Linked DNA regions of Caenorhabditis elegans. The protein of the gene in region 2 purifies or fractionates together with the protein of the main gene of each other region. This does not show direct contact. Each region holds a gene or a part of one and is shown on either strand. Other genes may lie near its edges.

Region 1 (4,829 bases), on a different chromosome or scaffold from region 2:
TTTGTATTAAACGGAAAAATTTTAATAAAATAAACAGAAAATGAACTGAAATTGGTTGAGGCTCACACTACAAACTACACATTTCTTCAGCCTCCCCAAACTTGGTTGAGGCTAGAAAAAGTGTAGTTTGCAGTGCGTGAGCCTCAACCAATTATCACTTGGACAGTTTGGCCTGCAAAATATGAAATTTTATGAAAAACTGGGTTTTTTTGGGGGGAAAATTGTACTAAAAAAGCTAAGTTTCACGTTCAAAACGGAAAAAAATGAAATTGAATGAGGCTCCCACTACAAACTACAACTCCACAGCCTCTAAAAACTTGGTTGAGGCTAGAAAAAGTGTAGTTTGTAGTGTAAGCCTCAACCAATTATTATTTACACAGTTTGAGCTGCAAAATGGAATAATTTATTGAAAAACTGATTTTTTAGGCAAAATTTTACTAAAAAGCTAAGTTTCACGTCGAAAACGGAATAGAAAACTAAAAATAAATTTGGTTGAGGCTCACACTACAAACTACAACTCCACAGCCTCATCAAATCTGGTTGAGGCTAGAAAAAGTGTAGTTTGTAGTGCGTGAGCCTCAACCAAGCTGCAAATTTGTCAAAAAACTTGGTTTTCCGGACAAGTTTTAGGCGATTTTCATGTTGAAAACTGAATTTTCAAAATTCTGTTAAAATAAACAAAAAATGAACTGAAATTGAGTGAGGCTCACAATACAAACTACAACTCCACAGCCTCCCCAAATTTGGTTGAGGCTAGAAAAAGTGTAGTTTGTAGTGTGTGAGCCTCAACCAAGCTACAAAATTCGAAAATTCGTTGAAAAACTTGTTTTTCTCGACAATTTTTACTAAAACATGCGATTTTCATTTTGAAAACTCATCAGAATAATTTTTTAAAAAATTCTATTAAAATTAACAACAGAAATAAAATGAAATAAATTTAGTTGAGGCTCTCACACTACAAACTACACACTTTTTCAGCCTCAACCCACCGCCAAAACCTCAATTTTTGAGCCAAAATCGCCATTTTTTCCTTTTTTTTTTTTCCACAAAATCCAACCTGATAATCAACATGAACAGTCTTCAGAAGCGTATTCAACGCCACATATCGAATATTCTTATCCGTATTCAAAAGGAATCGTCCAAGAATGTTCACAGCCAAAATGCGCAGGCCACTCTCGCTCTTAATCTCCATAATCGTGAGTACAGTCTCATAGAGAATCGCGTTTCCGACATTTTTCGCCGTTTCCGTATTCGTTGCCACTTGCGCCAGAATATCATTCATCTCTTCAGTGACACGTACGTCATCCTTCCCCAAAACTCTCAATAATCTCAGAATTTTGACCTGAAGGAACGGGTCAGAGATGCCGGTGACGTCGTGTTCCGGCGAATATCCACTCATTAGAAGATTCTTTAGAATCCGTACCAAATTCGGCACCAATTTCTTAAAATGATTCAAGACATCCGGAGATTTCTCGCACATTTCTGTGACCAAAGTCGTTGCGCCCATCAAAACTCCGTGATTTTTCTCTCCCAGAAGCGATCGGGTACATGGAATGAAGACTTCCATCAGCTCCGGCACTTTTCGAACGATACGGAACGCACAGAGCGCCGCTTTTTTCTTTAAATACGCATTGTTCTGCTTGATGATCTTCTCAACCTCGTTGGCCAGGTCTCGACACATTTCCGCTGAGCAAATTGAGCCCAGAGTGCAGAGAGCTAGTCCGCTGACGAATTGGGTGGAACAGGTGAGGTCGCTGGAAATGAAGAATTTAGTTTTAAAAAATAGAGTTTTCCGCGGAAATTGGGATTTTTTGCTTTTATTGTATCGAAAAATAGTGAAAATTCGATGAAAAACATTGAAAATGAGCAAAATATTAGTTGAGGCTCAGGCTACAAACTACAACTTCTGTCAGCCTCACCAAATTGGAAAACAAATCGTTTAAAATTTGGATTTTTAGCAAAATTTTCACCTTTTTTGCTCAATTTCCGGATTTTACAACCAATTTCTCTATTATTTCGTCGAAAAATAGTGAAAATTCGATGAAAAACATTGAAAATGAGCAAAATATTAGTTGAGGCTAAGACTACAAACTACAACTTTCTGTCAGCCTCACCAAAGTTGGAAGAAATCGTTTTATATTTGGATTTCTAGCAAAATCGTGAATTTTAAAGCAAAAATTCCAGTTTTTAGAACCAAATTCACTAATTTTAGCTCGAAAAATAGTAAAAATTGATGAAAAATCACTAAAAATGAGCAAAATCAAGTTAAAAATCTTGGTTGAGGCTTAGGCTACAAACTACAACTTTTGTCAGCCTCCCCAAAGCTGCTGGTTGAGGCTAAAAAAGTTGTAGTTTGTAGTCTACGCCTCAACCAAAATAATAATTCTTCGGATTTTTTTGTTTTCTATAGCATTTTTTACTGTAAAATCTCATTTTTGCATTGAAAATCCTTTAAAAATTGCTTTTTCTTCAAAAAATCAAATTTTGATGAGAAAAATCGCAGAAAAAAAGCTTTTAAACAAGATTTTTTCATTTTCATGGGTTTTTGCTAACTTTTTAAGCGAATTAGTGACGAGCATATGAACTTCCGATCGTTCATCGAGAAGAAGCATAGCTCCAAGATACCCAATTCGTTTGTCAGTGAATCGGGGGTGAGCCACCAGTTTCATGCACTCCATCTGAATAACAAATAATTTAATTTCCGGCGAAAAACGGTTCAATAACCTGTCCAAAATGCGCTGGGTAGCCGAGCATATGAATATAGAGCAATTTCGCGATATTTCTACATTTCCACGGAGAATCATCGTCTCGGAAGCTTTCTCGAATATTCGCACTTTCTCTATCCACCACTGCTCGCTCTTCAGCCATCGTTCGTGCCGCTCTGACCTGCCGAATTAGGTCTCGAAGCCGCATCGGAGTGCCGAGAGTTCTGAAAAAATAGAATTTACTGGGGAAATTTCGCAAAAATTTGAGTTTTTTAATGTTACAAACCTTCCAATCTTCGACTTATACTCATCGATCTTCTCAATGGCTAGCTCGACAGCCGTCGCCATCCTTGGAGCCTCACCCTGCAAAAATTCCTCATTTTTTGACGTTTTTTTTGGAGTTTTTTAGTTTTTTTTACAGCTCAGCAGTGAAAGTAAGTGGAATAAGTGAAATAAACGACGCTTATTAGTGAAAAAATGAATTTTTTAATCAAAAAATCACGAAAATCCACTAGAAAAAGCTGAAAAATCAGTGACAACACTGCAATTTTATTGATTTTTTGCATTTTACAATCCAACGCAGGGGGCGAGTCCGCAATTGCGCGTGAGGTCTGGTGTGGAGGTACCCGATTGCAGACCGTAGTAGGGGGAATTTAATTTTTGTTTTTTTTCTTTTTTCAATTTTTCGATTAAAAATCACTGAAACTTGAACTTTTCGCCAAAAAAATCGATTTTTTCCAGATGAACACCGAAGAATCGTCGTCCTCACAAGAATTGGAGGAGAAAAAACCGTCTCTCCGCGCTGAAAGATGCGGGATAGCGTCGCTTTTGTCTTCGGTAATTAAATTTCACTTGTTTTCCAAAGAAAAACCGCTTGCTTTTTAGCTCCGCAGTGACCATCTTGCGTCGAAAATCGATGAGCTATCGACCACAGAGGCTGCTGCTTCAGAAGAAATTCCCGAAGAAATCCCAGAAAACCGCCCATTAAATCGAAAAGAGAAGCGAAAACTCCAGAGAATGCAGGAAATTGACCAAGAAGTCAAGAAAAAAGCTCAAGAACCTGTAGAAATCGCCGAAATCCCCACAAATCTTAAAAATACATTTTGGTATCTGAAAATTCGAATTTTAAGTCAAAAAATCTGAAATTTTCAGCGATAAAGCCACTTTCAACTCGTACAACGCTCAATTCGGCTATAAATCAACGGAAAATAATAATTTTGTGCACTTTTCCATTCAAAATGAACAGGGAAACCGGGCTCTTGTGGCTTCACAGGATAGATTTATAAGAATGTATAAAATAGATGAAACTGTCGGTTTTTCTTCCAAAATTTCTGTAAAATAACGCTAAAAATTGCAGCCAGAAGTGATATGGAAGCATAATACGGGAAATTTGGTGCTGGATTCTTGTTGGGAAAACTCTGGAAAAGGGGTGTTCTCGTCGTCAAAACTGCGTCCAATTCAGCTATTTGATACGGAAAATGGAAGTATTCTCGGTGCTTATAATGGAAAAGATGCTGGGGTTGGTTTTTTTTTTTGCAAAAAAAAAAACGAAAAAAAAATGCTTAAAAATTGACATTTTTACATAAAAATCCAAAAAAAATTGGTTGAGGCTCAGAGACTACAAACTACAATTTTCTGAGCCCCAACCAATATTGGGTGAGGCTAAAAATAGTTGTAGTTTGTAGTCTTTAAAAGTAATTTTTCACTTTTTTTTCAATTAAAATCTGTTTTTTAATCAAATTTGTGCCAAAAACCTCTAAAAATAACTGAAAATTGCTAATTTTTTAAACAAAAATGCATTGATTGAGGCTCAGACTACAAACTACAATTTTCTGAGCCTCAACCAATATTGGGTGAGGCTGAAAAAGTTGTAGTTTGTAGTCTCTAAAAGAAATGTTTCACTTTTTTTCAAATTAAAGCTGCTTTTTAATCAAATTTGTGCCAAAAACTCGAAAAACCACGAAAAATTAAAATCTTCGCCTATTAATTCATTTCGAGACTACAAACTACAACTTTTTGAGCCTCAACCATTTTGTAGTTTGTAGTATAGTCGTTTTTCTGCAAATTTGATAAGTTTCAGAATTTAACATTTTAAAAAAATTTCCCTTAAAATTTATATAAAAA
Region 2 (4,027 bases):
TGTAGAAGAGAAAAAGAGAAAAAGAGGAAGGGAAACCGAAATGGGATATGTCATTGAAGGGCCAAAAAGAAGGATGAGAATGAGTAGAAGAAGAGCACAAACAGAGTGAGTGAAGAGGATTAATGGATTATAAAAAAATAAATTAAGAAATTTATGAAACTTTTTGAAAATTAAAAAATTGAAAATTTTTTAAGTGGTATTTAATTAATCTTAATTAAGAATCCGCCCCATATCTAAGTGCACTAATACAAATTCAGAATTTCAAGAAGATGACATTACATAGAAACCCATATCGAAATTTAGAGAATAGGCAAGGAAAATGTTCTGCCGAACAAATTGTGAATAGAAGGGCTCTTCACACGAATAACGAGCCTCTCCGTCTCTCACACTTTAATTTTCGTATCTTCAATATTTTAGACCACACGACACCACTCAAACCACTTTCCAAAAACGCAATTATAAATGGCTCTTCTCTTGCTCACAGTGTCACTTTCAGTCGACGACGACATAATTCAATAACGGCTCTTTTTCTGAACAAATAAATAATTAGGAAACAACTTACCGCGGTGGAAATTCTTATTTACTGAAGATTTCATTTACAAACCTTTACTACGATAACATCACGAGTCTAAATGGAAAATGGAAGCAGGAAAATGTTAGGAATTTTTAAGTTTTAAAAGAAAATGGTTGGAGTACATATTCACAGAATCGATTGTTCTTGCATACGGGAAAATTAATGGAATGTTTGTCAATCTATACGAGAAGAAACCACATAGAAAACAGGAAGAACATCGGAGGGTGTTGGATGAGGGGAAGGAAGGGGGATCTGATTACAAATAATGATAAGAGACTAGTGGTCAAATGAGTTCCTACCGTAATCCGAAAAAATTAAAATTACAGCAGAAATCATTGTGAGGCAATCAGAAAATCAAATGGTTAATTGAAAAGGACTGGCAAGTTATCTTCTTCCGATGCAAGCAAATTTCGCGGTGGATTATTTTCAGAATGTGCTGCGTCCTCTCCTGGTCCTGGTCCTTCCAACTGAAATTTTATTTATCTTTTTTAGTTTTAAGTCGTCTCTTATGGGTACACTGTAGTGACAGCATTTTTCAATTCTTTCATGACGGTTCTATTTGGAAAAATGAAAAACCGTTGTAAAAACTTTTCGACTTTTTTCTGATAATATTATTCAATATCGTGTGAGGTGAGAAACCCAGAAATGAAAAGTCGATACTCACTGCTTTTTGAGCAGCTTCTTGTTCCTTCAGTTTCTTTTTGTTAGCCTGAATCTTCTTCATTCTGAAGAACTCCTCTCTTTCCATTTCGTCCAACTCAGTCACAATGTATGTCAGAGTGTTCTCGATACGTGGGATGATAACGTGCTCGATAGCATTGACACGCCTGTTGGTAACCTTGATGGCTTCATCCAAAGTGATGAAGCATGTTTGAAGAGTGGCGAGCTCGACGAGCAATTCGATGGCCTTGTTGTAGTTCTTCTTCAGGCGAGCAATGTTGGCTCCTCCCTTTCCGAGACCAGTAAGATCGTATGCATCTGGTCCGTCTTGGTAGGCGTCGAATACCGGAAGGAAAACTCCTGAAAACGGTTAAATTTCCGACAAAATCAAATTATTTGAACTCTTACAGCTCGCAATTCAGCAGCACGACTTTTAGTTTTTTCGCACTTTTAAGTTAATTCGTTCTAATTCTATCGTTTTTTGAGAAGTAAACTCGATAACGCCAAAAGAAACTCATAGTTTATTCTTAAAATGTGGAAAAAAGTGAAAATATAATCGCGCGAAAAAATAAAAATTCTCGAATGACTCACCGACAACGTTCTCTTTCTTCATGCGAACACGATATTGAGCTTGAGAAACGTTTTGAATGACAGTGTGAGAGAAATCTCCAGCAGTGAACTTGGCTTCAGCCAAAGAGAATGCAGCCTCTTTCATAACCTCTCCCATGAGGACTTTGTTCTGAAAACATTTGATTTTTAGCGTTTCACCTCAGAATTTTCAAACAAACCTCAACAATCTTTCTCAAAATGTCACGGAAACGAAGATTCAACGCATCGGCCTTCTTCTTCAGCAGAGAATGACCCTTTTGAGCACCCTTCAGACGGGTTTTCATCAGGGTTTGCGCCCTGAATAGTTATTTTTTAGATTTCCATCAAGTTTTTCTTCTATAAAACTCACATTCTAGACGGGAAAACCGCGATTCTGTCTTTTCCTCCCCCGGACATGGTTCGACCTGGAAAAAAAGTTTGTTATTTCTATGAAAAAAACATTAAAATATGGCAAAAATGAGCGAAATCGGTTGTTCGCAAGAAATACACAAAAGACCAATGACTGCCGATTGATCGACGGCATTTTCAATAGAGCGAGTTTGCAAGTCTTGTCATGAGGTGGAAATATAAGAGAGAAGAGAGAAGAAGGCATATCTTTGATGTTTCATTGGGAATTGTTGGAATAAAACTTTATCCCAATAGAAAATATCATTTTCAGTAAAAGGTTAAAGGGGTTGGATAATCAATTTAAAAATTAATCTTCGATTTTTTTAAAATTTCAGCTTCAAAACTTTTTGAAATCTAATTTTAAAATAAATGTACTATTCGCAATTTAAAAGCCGGTCCCTCCACTTCTTTTAGCATTAATGACTTGTTTGTTAATAAATATTACCTAGACACGAAATTTTTCGTAAAAAAATACGGTAGCCGGTCTCGACACGACAATTATTTTTCGTAAATTACAAACTGGTGTGCAAGAGTAATGCATTTTTAAACTTTCGCTGCTGTGGAATTTACATTCGGGTTTTTCAGTTTTTCTCACAATTTGTCAAAATTTGAGTGTTTTAGTTGTTTTATTTCAGTTTGTTGATAAATAAATATATTTTGTTAACGAAAACCATGAAAATTCGATAAAAAATTCCGCATAAAAGAAAGTAAGAAATTACAGTAATCCTTAAAAGCACACATCCGTTTGTATTCAACAAAACATAGTCGTGTCGAGACCGGGTACCGTAATTTTCAATGTCCCGAAATAAGCTGACAGATTGAATTTTAAGAAAAGTAGATTGGAGAATTAACCAAGAAGAAAGCATAGAAGAAAATAAACAAATATTGATAAATCATCGTCAAAATTTATTTCACAAAACTTTAGAAAATTATAATGACACAAGAATTAGGTGAGTGGGGGGGGGGGGGGGGGGAAGGGAGCAAAATAAAAATATAATAAATAATATACATGCTATAGGGCGAAGATTGTAAGATCTATTTACGCAACAATCGTGTGAGCAATCCTTTCTTCGATTTCTCACATGGTGGCTGCCAATCACGTCGACTTCTGGTGTTCTTTTCTTCACATTCCAATCGTTTGACCCGTTCAATAAATTCAACAGGAACAGCAAAAAGAGATTGAACGTTTGCGAGGAGGACAGCGGTAATCAGCATTCCTTGTTGCTTTCGGCATTTACTACAAACACCTGTCCAGAGTCCGATGATTGCCTGAAATCGAAAATTTAAAAATTGATATTACACAGACACGAAATATAGCGACAAAAGTACGGTACCGGTCTCGAGGCGAAAAATTTTTGTCGAATGAAACGAATGAAGATTTCTGCAGAATTTTCAGTGTTGAAATATAGGTGTTAATTTTTTAGTTCTATAGTTTTTTAATAGATAAATATATTTTTATCAAATAATTAATTAAAATCCATAAAAATTCGGCAGAAATGATAGTTTGAAATTACAGTGCTCCTTAAAGACTCATACATTTTCTTATCTTACAAAAATTTGTCGAGTCGAGACAGTAGTTTTCTTGCAAAATGATCCCCTCCTTACCGCTTCACGATTGTTGGAAGATCCATTAGAAGGATCAGCGAGGTCGAAGACTGCATTCGTTTCGATCGATTGAATGAATGTAACAAATTTGTGAAGTTTCCGACGTCTTGAAGTTGGAAGCGAAAGAAGTACCAATTGAATTGCTTCGATCAACCACTGCTCTCGGATTTCGTAGGATTTTTCGTCTGAAAA
Region 3 (4,927 bases), 1.6 Mb from region 2:
GTGTGGATAATGGAGCGCCAAACCAGATCTCCTGAATTAAGTGACTCTTTTGTTGAGGGACAAAAAGTTTGAAGAGCAAATATTCAATGGAAAATATTCAACAATAGGTTGGAAATTTCCAAAACAATTACATGTACTTTCCATAAGACTGTCCATAAGTGTAACAAGCTGTGTGGCAAACGTCAAGTAAATTTTTTTGCCAACTTTGGAAATAGCTGATAGAAATTTCAAAAATTTTGTTCTGAGAAACGCATTCAAAAAGCCTGAGAGATACAAACATCAAAAGCACACCAAAATATAAGTGCAGCAAAAAATATGTTCAAAGGTGCCAAAACTTTAGAAACCTGGCTGCCGAATAGTTGCCTAATTTCAGGCTAAAGCCAATTAGCGGTTGCCAACAATAATTTCTGGAACTGTACTTGGACACAGCCAGAACCAAACCTGTCAAAGTTTTCCCAAGTTTGCCAACTTCTGGTTCAAGTTAACTTTTTTCCAAACTATGGTTAGATGCTAGCCCAAATGTCAAGCATTTAAAAAAACTTAAAAACTTAAAACATTATTTTTCCAATATTATAAAACAAACCTTTGTAATATAAATAACCATAACAAGCCAAGAAAACAACAAAATCCATCCAAGATAGCAAATTTCTTTATCTCTGCGCTGACAAACTGCCTCAGAAGCACATTCCATAATTTGCTTTATCCTGAAAAAATACTTATTTCCAGCAAAAAAACCACTACTGGAAAAATGGAAACTGTGATGGATTGAGTGGTTTTCTTACACATCATTTTTCCATGCATAAAAACTGCATTTTCCAAGTATTCCTATTAATATACATTCAGAGAATGTGAGTTCCGTTGTGGTAAAAACTTTATCTATAGAACCTTATGTATTTTAATAAGAGAACACGGGAAAAGCCAGTTTTAGAAAACTAGTCGAATTGATTGTGTCTACAATGAAAATAATTGGGAAAATATTTTTAAATTGCAGATATTTGAATTTGCAACAAAAAACGATTCACTATAATCGTCATGGCTGAAAAAATCATAAACAAAAGCGAGAAAAATAGAAGGGAAACCACACCGGAAATGGGCCATCTAGATGAAAAACGAGCGGCACTAAGAGCATAGACAAAAATAATATGAATTTTTTAGTTTTTGAACCTACATAGGTAATGAAAAGTATATGGAGATCTTAATAGTGCCATAAATGAAAATATACAGTATTTTCTCTAATAGTGCTGTACCTCATCGATTTAACTTAATGGATCATATCTCGACTGTCTTAGCTTTAAGGAATATTTTTTACGAATATTAAAATTAGAGAAGATCATAAAAATTCAACAAACCAGTGTATGCGCATGACGAATTCGTGGAAAATTCCATATGAAAAAATATCATCCTTGTTGTTCTGATATTCACTCACCATCTCCTTTCCGCGAGGAGTCTGTAAACCTTCTCAAAATAAGAATTCGCGAGCGTCCACGGTATGTCAAAGAATCCAGTTCAAGAAGGTTTTTCAGGTTATCATTGCCTTTTTTTCACGAAACGAAAGCCATCAAAGCTGTGGATTTCAAGATCAAGACTCAACATAAAAATTAATTCCCATGGCTTATTATTTCATTCAAAAAATCTTGTATTTTATGTTTATCTCTTATTTACTATCAAATTAATACATAAAGATACGTTTTCGAGTTGTTGAAGATCATTTCAATAAAAAGAAGTGACCAGTGTCAGGTGTTGGGCTCTGGGAAAACCAATTAATAAAGGGTCATCGAGCAACTGTCACTTTATCGATCGATTTCATTCGTTTAATCCTCTATATTGTATAGAAAAACACAAGGTTTGTTAGTTGGTTTCACATTTTATTTGAAAAATTGCAGATTTTTACGTTTTCTTTGAAATTTCCAGCAGGAATAAATAACTCTCGTTTATTATCATTACAACTTTTTAAATTAAATTTTCCAGATGAACATTTTCATCTCCTTGGCAATTTTAATTGCCACAACGCATTGTCTCACTTTACTACGAGATCCTGTCACTCAAAATGGTGCTTCAAAATTTGAAAAAAGTATTGGAAAATACAAATATGAAGAAGGATATCTCAAAGCTCCAATTGATCCTTTCGCATTCACCAATGATCTTGAATTTGATTTACGGTAAGTTGCCGCTACTTATCAATTATTTGGCTCTATTCAATTGCAGATATTTCTTGAATATCGATCATTACGAGACTGGTGGTCCAATACTCTTTTACACTGGTAACGAGGGAAGTCTTGAGGCATTTGCCGAAAACACAGGATTCATGTGGGATCTTGCACCAGAGCTCAAGGCTGCTGTTGTTTTTGTTGAGCACCGATTCTACGGAAAATCTCAACCTTTCAAGTAAGTTAGATTTTGAAAAAAGTTGTTGAGTAATCAAAGCTGAGTAATGAAACTAACCAATAAAATCTGTGAAAAGTAAAGTGTTTCACTATTTCAAGATACCGCTTAATAATAAAAGCGCCGTACCAAATAAGAAAATTCTTGACCAAGTGTGGCCAAAAATATTTACTTGAAGCAGAAGTTGATATAACTTGGGCCAGTCTTGGAAAGCCTTGGTCTTTGGAGCATCCTAAATTATTTCTTCCTTAAGTATTTAGCCCAAGTATTGCTAATGTCTGCTCAAAGTTAACACTTATTATTCGTCCATATTTGGGCAAATTCTGCCTTGCCTAATAAATATAGACAGATTCAAAAAATGTTTATTTTGAGAATGGCGAGGCTCTGATAGAAACCTCCTTTTTGTTCTAAATTTCACAGCCATCGATGAAAATGGCTTGGTACATTAGGCAAATAACATTTGTAAGGTGTAAGGTGATGTTAGGGTGCCTACATGAAAGCCCTATATTGTTTGAATATTCAGAAACGAAAGCTACACAGACATTCGTCATCTTGGTTATCTTTCATCCCAACAGGCTCTGGCTGATTTTGCCCTTTCTGTGCAATTCTTCAAAAATGAGGTAATCTATAGCCCAATTTTATTTAATTTTAACTTCTTGCTATTACAGAAAATCAAAGGAGCTCAAAAGTCGGCAGTTATTGCATTTGGAGGATCATACGGTGGAATGTTGTCAGCTTGGTTTAGAATCAAGTATCCCCATATAGTTGATGGGTTTGTAAAATTTAATTATGTTATTTTAAAGATCATTTGTTCAGAGCAATTGCCGCGTCAGCTCCAGTATTTTGGTTCACAGACTCCAATATTCCAGAAGATGTTTATGATTTTGTAAGTTTCAATTTCTAAAATAATTCCAATTAAAACCAGCATTTAGATTGTCACTCGGGCTTTTCTTGATGCTGGATGCAACAGAAAAGCTATTGAAAAAGGATGGATTGCATTGGATGAATTGGCAAAAAGTGACAGTGGAAGACAGTATTTGAATGTTCTGTATAAATTAGATCCTAAGTCAAAGTTGGAAAATAAAGATGATATAGGATTTTTGAAGGTGAGAGTTGATAAGTTTAATGGACAATTTTTTTGAATTCGGAATGTCAAATAAATGAATTTTCCTTCTTGAGAAACTTATCACTTTTTCAGCAATACATAAGAGAATCGATGGAAGCAATGGCTATGGTAAACTATCCATATCCAACTTCTTTCCTGAGCTCTCTTCCTGCCTGGCCAGTCAAGGAAGCCTGCAAATCTGCAAGTCAACCAGGAAAAACACAAGAAGAATCTGCAGAACAACTGTACAAAATTGTCAACCTGTACTACAATTACACAGGAGACAAGTCAACGCATTGTGCAAATGCAGCGAAATGTGATAGTGCATATGGATCATTAGGTGATCCATTGGGATGGCCATTTCAAACATGTACGGAAATGGTTATGCCACTGTGTGGAAGTGGATATCCAAATGATTTCTTCTGGAAGGATTGTCCATTTACATCAGAGAAATATGCAGAGTTCTGCATGCAAACGTAAGTAAATATAACGTTATTCATTCGAAATTTTAATTTAAGGTTCTCCTCGATCCATTACAACAAAACTCTTCTTCGCCCATTAGCCGGTGGCCTTGCATTTGGAGCAACTTCTCTTCCATCTGCATCCAATATTGTCTTCTCGAATGGTTACCTGGATCCATGGAGTGGTGGTGGCTACGATCATTCCGATAAGGTACAGGGATCAGTGATTAGTGTAATTCTGAAACAAGGAGCTCATCATTATGATTTACGTGGAGCTCATCCACAGGATACCGAAGAAGTTAAAAAGGTTCGAGCCATGGAGACGCAGGCAATCAAGAAATGGATCAAGGAGAAGGCGAGAAATTCTTGGAGATATGATTAAATTTGATTCTACACGATTTTCTGTAATTTGTTTTTTATTAAATAAATGATTAATTCAATGTGAGATGTCATCTTTTAATGTCGTAGTAAGTATGGGTGCATAAGCTTTGGCAAGTTTATGTACCCATACTTACTATGGCATTAAAACGAAGAACATGTCTTGAAATGTGAAAAAAATAAGCCGGAAAAGGCTTCAAAATTTTGCTAATTTTTAGTTTTCCCCGGACACATTACTTATGGAAATTCGACAAAATGGCCCATTTCGGATTTTTTTCCAACAGAAAAAATATTTTTCGATGTGTCGGACTTTTATCAGCAACTGCAATTTTCATGCATACTTTGAGTATCTCTTTTCACAATGTTAAATTAAAATTGAAATTATTTTCGGATAAATAAATTATGACACTAAACTTTGAAAAAAAAATTGGACAAACATTCCACAAAATAATTTCTCATTTGTATAATTTTTCCAATTTTTGGCGTCTATGGAACTCAAAATAATCTTGAAACTCTGTTTGTATCTTGAATTTAAATTGTCAAATTTATACAGAAAATGCACAAAAATGTAATGAAAACAATTGAGCATGTCATCAAAAGT

The links.
Region 1: the proteins of vha-14 (region 2) and apg-1 fractionate together in Caenorhabditis elegans (co-fractionation; one large-scale study listed by BioGRID). This does not show direct contact.
Region 3: the proteins of vha-14 (region 2) and pcp-5 purify together in Caenorhabditis elegans (affinity purification with mass spectrometry, with the first as the bait; one large-scale study listed by BioGRID). This does not show direct contact.

Annotation. Positions count from the first base shown.
Region 1 is NC_003279.8:14,404,267-14,409,095, reverse strand, and holds the start of apg-1 (AP-1 complex subunit gamma), read right to left. Parts: upstream 3,069-4,829; 5' UTR 3,054-3,068; coding exon 2,992-3,053; intron 2,930-2,991; coding exon 2,725-2,929; intron 2,679-2,724; coding exon 2,554-2,678; intron 1,755-2,553; coding exon 1,058-1,754; intron 1-1,057. Other genes in the region: tcab-1 (WD_REPEATS_REGION domain-containing protein), read left to right, coding at 3,447-3,542, 3,591-3,811, 3,858-4,014, 4,063-4,224.
Region 2 is NC_003281.10:9,506,320-9,510,346, reverse strand, and holds vha-14 (V-type proton ATPase subunit D), read right to left. Parts: upstream 2,248-4,027; 5' UTR 2,240-2,247; coding exon 2,193-2,239; intron 2,141-2,192; coding exon 2,023-2,140; intron 1,974-2,022; coding exon 1,826-1,973; intron 1,595-1,825; coding exon 1,239-1,594; intron 1,042-1,238; coding exon 937-1,041; 3' UTR 590-936; downstream 1-589. UniProt on the Caenorhabditis elegans protein: Subunit of the V1 complex of vacuolar(H+)-ATPase (V-ATPase), a multisubunit enzyme composed of a peripheral complex (V1) that hydrolyzes ATP and a membrane integral complex (V0) that translocates protons.
Region 3 is NC_003281.10:7,904,406-7,909,332, reverse strand, and holds pcp-5 (Prolyl carboxy peptidase like protein 5), read left to right. Parts: upstream 1-1,968; coding exon 1,969-2,159; intron 2,160-2,205; coding exon 2,206-2,385; intron 2,386-2,905; coding exon 2,906-3,002; intron 3,003-3,050; coding exon 3,051-3,154; intron 3,155-3,198; coding exon 3,199-3,268; intron 3,269-3,314; coding exon 3,315-3,488; intron 3,489-3,580; coding exon 3,581-3,963; intron 3,964-4,005; coding exon 4,006-4,330; 3' UTR 4,331-4,388; downstream 4,389-4,927.